Saccharomyces cerevisiae S288C: one gene and its partner. Changing the gene in region 1 together with any one later gene gives a genetic interaction. Each region holds a gene or a part of one and is shown on either strand. Other genes may lie near its edges.

Region 1 (2,966 bases):
TCGGTAACCCAGTCACCGGAGAAACTTTAGAATCTCCAAGGGCTTTTAACCTGATGTTTGAAACGGCTATTGGCCCATCTGGTCAATTAAAGGGTTACTTGAGGCCAGAAACTGCCCAAGGTCAATTCTTGAATTTTAACAAGTTGTTAGAATTTAACAACAGTAAGACCCCTTTTGCCTCAGCCTCTATCGGTAAATCATTTAGAAATGAGATTTCCCCAAGGGCCGGTTTATTAAGAGTCCGTGAATTTTTGATGGCAGAGATTGAACATTTCGTTGACCCATTGGACAAATCTCATCCAAAATTTAATGAAATCAAAGACATCAAGCTTTCCTTTTTGCCTCGTGATGTTCAAGAAGCTGGTTCTACTGAACCAATTGTCAAGACAGTTGGTGAAGCAGTTGCTTCAAGAATGGTCGATAATGAAACTTTGGGTTACTTTATTGCCAGAATTTACCAATTTTTGATGAAAATTGGTGTTGATGAGTCCAAATTGAGATTCCGTCAACATATGGCTAATGAAATGGCACATTATGCTGCTGACTGTTGGGATGGTGAATTGAAGACATCTTACGGGTGGATTGAATGTGTCGGATGTGCTGATAGATCTGCCTATGATTTGACCGTTCATTCCAAAAAGACCAAAGAAAAATTGGTTGTTAGACAAAAATTAGATAATCCAATTGAAGTCACCAAGTGGGAAATTGATTTGACGAAAAAATTGTTCGGTCCAAAATTCAGAAAAGATGCACCAAAAGTTGAATCTCATCTATTGAATATGTCTCAAGATGACTTGGCTTCCAAGGCTGAGTTATTGAAGGCAAATGGCAAGTTTACTATAAAGGTTGATGGTGTTGATGGCGAAGTCGAGTTGGACGATAAATTGGTTAAAATCGAACAAAGAACAAAGGTTGAACACGTTAGAGAATATGTTCCTAGTGTCATTGAACCATCTTTCGGTATTGGCCGTATCATCTACTCCGTTTTTGAGCACTCTTTCTGGAACAGACCAGAAGACAATGCCAGAAGTGTTCTTTCCTTCCCACCTTTGGTTGCTCCAACAAAGGTTCTTTTAGTTCCTTTATCTAACCACAAAGATTTAGTTCCTGTTACTACTGAAGTCGCCAAAATCTTAAGAAAGTCTCAAATCCCATTTAAGATTGATGATTCTGGAGTTTCCATTGGTAAAAGATATGCCCGTAATGACGAATTAGGTACTCCATTCGGTGTCACCATTGACTTTGAATCTGCCAAAGACCATTCTGTCACTTTGAGAGAAAGAGATTCCACCAAGCAAGTTAGAGGTTCCGTCGAAAATGTCATCAAGGCTATCCGCGATATCACTTACAATGGTGCTTCTTGGGAAGAAGGTACCAAGGATTTGACTCCTTTTATTGCCCAAGCTGAAGCTGAAGCTGAAACTGACTAAATAAATGACTTAATTTTAACTATATATCGCCAAACATGTAAATTAAAAAAAGAAGCGAGAAGTATATACATGTGTGTATGAATAAATAATTCGTTTACTATTGATACGTATTGCAAGATATGATTATGTACTGTCCACTAATACGATTATTTTGGAAGTTTATAAAAGAAGTGCGGAAATCACATCTGCTGTTTATTTAGCCATTCCTCACACTAATAGTTAAAGTACTTTCATAGCAGCTCTGCGCATGGTCGGACATGCGAAAAATTCTGATATCAAGAAAAAGCGAAATATTTCCGGCCTTGTAGGGGCCAAAACATTAACGTATATCAAGATTTCCTGTGGTAGCAACATTATAAGAAAAAAAGGTAGCCTTCATTGAAACATTCTCTCTATCAGCTTACCAAGTTAAACTCCGTATTCCACAAGCAAGTGCCAAAATGTCTTCTTCCCAGGTCGTCAGGGATTCTGCCAAAAAATTAGTTAATTTACTGGAAAAATATCCAAAGGATCGTATACACCACTTGGTCTCATTCAGGGATGTACAAATAGCAAGATTTAGACGTGTAGCGGGTCTGCCAAATGTAGATGACAAAGGAAAATCTATAAAAGAGAAAAAACCCTCATTAGATGAAATAAAAAGTATAATTAACAGAACTTCCGGTCCATTAGGACTGAATAAGGAGATGTTAACCAAAATTCAAAATAAAATGGTAGATGAGAAATTCACGGAAGAAAGCATCAACGAGCAAATTCGTGCCTTGAGCACTATAATGAATAATAAATTCAGAAACTATTACGATATTGGCGATAAGCTCTATAAACCTGCAGGAAATCCCCAATATTATCAACGGTTAATAAATGCCGTTGACGGTAAGAAAAAGGAAAGCTTATTTACTGCAATGAGAACTGTATTATTTGGTAAATAAAGAGCACATTATTTTCTAAGCTTGTAAATACATATTTATTCATAATGGAGAACGTTATTCAAATTTATCTGTGAATTTCTTTACTCGAGGTATACTTCCGCAAAGGAAATTCTACTTAGCAAATCCTATGGTAACGTCATTGTTTTGTAGCTTGTAAGTGGAGCCTAACTGATTCTTGATTTTCGTAGCATCAGCAACGGTCTCGTATTCCACGAAAGCTAGGTTACGAACGCTAACTAATCTGATTTCAACTAAAGCCTCATTGCCAAGTATTTGCGACAATAATTGCTCGGTAGTGCCGCTTGGCAAATTTTGTATAAGAAGGACTTTGTTCGGTGGATTTTCCATTGTATTGGACACTTTAGCCCGCTTAAGAGGTTTCTGCGATTGTTTTAGATTTTCTTGCTGAGACTTCATGTTTTCCAATCTACGGGTTTCAAATTCTTTTACAATCCTATCAATCTCAGCCTCCTCTACCTTTCTTGATCTCAGCTTATGCTTCAGGCGTCTTATTTGCCTTTTAAGCCTGAACTTTTTGGCGCATATATCATCACTACGTAACTTGCGTTTAAGTTTCCTTGCTTTAAGCACCTTCTTTATATCAAGG
Region 2 (3,084 bases), on another chromosome or scaffold:
TTATTTGAGGAAAATTTTCATACAACAAATCATAAAACTTGAAGGCGCCACCACCAGTGGCAATTATATGAGTCATTCTATAGCATCCATTGTTATGTTCTTTGATAATAGAATGCAGAAGTTCCATGAACTTGTCAATTTTCTCTGTTTCAATGGTGTAGAACATCAGCCTGTTACTGTGTATAGGCGAGAAGACTACTTTAGCCAGAGTGCCTCCTATATCAATAGCAAGGTTGAAAGTATTGTCGCCATAATCGCAATTGTAAGATATCTCTTGAGTAATTCGCGGCATTGCGATTCTTTTCGCATGCACTCAATTGGAACTATAAATTTCTTTATTCTGGTAGTTTTTTAGTTTTAATGATCAATCTGTTCAGAAACATAAGTTCTTTTTACTCATCGTTATGTTGGTGAAATAAAATTTCGGCCGATATTGGGGGAACTGCGCTAGTCGTTTAACGTCATGTAAGATTCCTAAGTGGAACAGTCAGAAGTAAAAAAAAAAAAATCGGTCCCGGCAATTACAAACTAAAGGAGCTCAATGCGTAGATCGCGGATAGTTCTCCGCATTTGAGTGAAACTTTTTGAGATACTGTCGTAAATACGCAATCATGAACGACCATATGAATAATACTCGATCATACCAACGTCACGTGTAAAGCTTTTGCCTGTTTCGAAAATGTGTTGAACTATTGAAATATAATAAAATTAAAAGGCAACCGAGCCCCTGGGTCAGAGAAAATAGGAAGACAAAGATGATTGAAGAGAATTTGAAACAGAAAATCCACGATAAGTTCGTTGCAGCCAAAAAGAATGGGCATCTGAAAGTAACGCATGCAGAATCCAAGAAGTTGAAAGATCCTCAAACGACGACACAATATTGGGTGACATTTGCTCCATCTTTGGCACTTAAGCCAGACGCTAACAAGAATAGCGATTCAAAGGCGGAGGACCCGTTCGCCAATCCCGACGAAGAACTAGTGGTGACTGAAGATCTAAATGGTGACGGAGAATATAAGCTGCTACTCAACAAATTTCCTGTGGTCCCTGAACATAGTCTCCTAGTGACAAGCGAGTTTAAAGACCAGAGATCTGCTTTGACGCCAAGTGACTTGATGACTGCTTATAATGTGCTCTGTTCTCTCCAAGGAGACAAGGACGATGATGTCACTTGTGAAAGGTATCTGGTCTTTTATAATTGTGGACCTCATAGCGGTTCCTCACAAGATCACAAACACTTGCAGATCATGCAAATGCCTGAAAAATTTATACCTTTTCAGGACGTATTGTGCAACGGAAAGGATCATTTCTTGCCCACCTTCAACGCAGAGCCATTACAAGATGATAAGGTTTCCTTTGCTCATTTCGTCTTGCCGCTGCCGGAATCGTCTGATCAAGTGGACGAAGATCTTCTTGCTATGTGTTACGTATCTTTGATGCAGAGAGCACTTACATTTTTCCAAGATTGGACCAATGAGTCTCCGGAGTTGACCAAGTCATACAATGTGCTACTGACCAAGAAATGGATCTGTGTAGTTCCAAGATCGCATGCCAAGAGTGGACCGCCATTGATGTTAAACATTAACTCCACGGGGTACTGTGGTATGATCCTCGTTAAAGACAGAGAAAAACTAGAGAACCTCACTGAAGATCCTCATCTTGTGGACAAGTCGTTACTGCAATGCGGTTTCCCCAACACAGCAGGCCAAAAACCAACAGAGTATCACTATTAAGGTCTATTAGCCATATGTACATTGTCTATAGATGTGTAACTGCGCTGTGATCTTGTTTTGACCAATCAGGAGCGACGCGCTTTTTATCGGGTCACCCCGGCGGGGGGCCTGACAATTTACTTTCATAGAGCAGTAATAAAAGGGAAGAGATGTAAAAGCTTGGAAAAATAGCAGTAAAGGTTGTTGTTGGACAATTTATCAGAATATTAGTAACTGTAATTAAACGTTCCAGAAAGAACAAAATGCCACAGTCTTTTACGTCTATTGCGAGAATTGGTGACTATATTTTGAAGTCACCCGTCCTCTCCAAGTTATGTGTTCCAGTTGCCAATCAGTTCATTAACCTCGCAGGTTACAAGAAGTTAGGGCTCAAATTTGACGACTTAATTGCAGAGGAAAATCCCATCATGCAGACCGCTTTAAGAAGACTCCCTGAAGATGAATCTTATGCCAGAGCATATAGAATAATCAGGGCTCATCAAACCGAGTTGACTCATCATTTACTGCCAAGAAACGAATGGATCAAAGCCCAAGAGGATGTTCCTTACCTGTTGCCATACATATTAGAAGCTGAAGCTGCAGCTAAGGAGAAGGACGAGTTAGACAACATAGAGGTCTCCAAATGAAAAGAAGAATAAAAAAATCACCACGAACACACAACCCGAAAAAAAAAAGGCATTAAATATTCATTTGAAAGAAGGGACAGAGACTAAATCATATCCTTTATTATCTCTCTATATATATATAAGCGTTTGCTTGAAACGTTTACTTCATATTATTTATTTATCTATAGTCTGAACTTAAAATTTTATTATGAAATTCGTATATTGTAATGTCTAGTGTTATAAATCGGGTATCTATTAGTATTTATTTTTTCTATAATTATGCAGGTGATGGGGTATCGAGTGGTCTATATATCTTAAATTTATTCTACTATTTCCTAGTGCAGAATAACTTGGCGAAAATTTTGAACTTTCTATTCTTCTTAAAAGATTTTTCTTCATACTGAGTTGAACTGTGCTTACTATCCTTGTTAATGGGAGCAGATTTTTGTTTCGTCGGCAAAATGACACTTTTATCAGATCCACTAGTTTCGTTGTATACGTGGAGGGGTTCTCCTCGTAGTATTTCTTCCGGAATACTCTCTTCTTCTTCGTCGTCTGTTTGTTTCTCAGAGTCAAGAATAGAAGAAGACAATGATGTTACATGGGCAAAATCCTCAGTAAAAGATACCATATCGCACTCCTGAGACTGGAAATTGAAGCTGCTAACAGATTTTCCATCTTTGGAAAAATACTTTTTTATCGACGAGGATTGTGGTGACAACCTAACCCTTTCGTTGATACTAGTT

Evidence for each region.
Region 2: of CBP6 (region 1) and QCR7, changing one suppresses a phenotype caused by changing the other (phenotypic suppression), as found in Saccharomyces cerevisiae (one study listed by BioGRID).

What each region holds. Positions count from the first base shown.
Region 1 is NC_001134.8:479,828-482,793, reverse strand, and holds CBP6 (Cbp6p), read left to right. Parts: upstream 1-1,870; coding exon 1,871-2,359; downstream 2,360-2,966. Other genes in the region: GRS1 (glycine--tRNA ligase), read left to right, coding at 1-1,430; MUD1 (Mud1p), read right to left, coding at 2,471-2,966. UniProt on the Saccharomyces cerevisiae protein: This protein is involved in processing of the 5' terminus and the intervening sequences of cytochrome b pre-mRNA.
Region 2 is NC_001136.10:1,495,440-1,498,523, reverse strand, and holds QCR7 (ubiquinol--cytochrome-c reductase subunit 7), read left to right. Parts: upstream 1-1,975; coding exon 1,976-2,359; downstream 2,360-3,084. Other genes in the region: CAB1 (pantothenate kinase), read right to left, coding at 1-292; APA2 (bifunctional AP-4-A phosphorylase/ADP sulfurylase), read left to right, coding at 756-1,733; HLR1 (Hlr1p), read right to left, coding at 2,667-3,084. UniProt on the Saccharomyces cerevisiae protein: Component of the ubiquinol-cytochrome c oxidoreductase, a multisubunit transmembrane complex that is part of the mitochondrial electron transport chain which drives oxidative phosphorylation.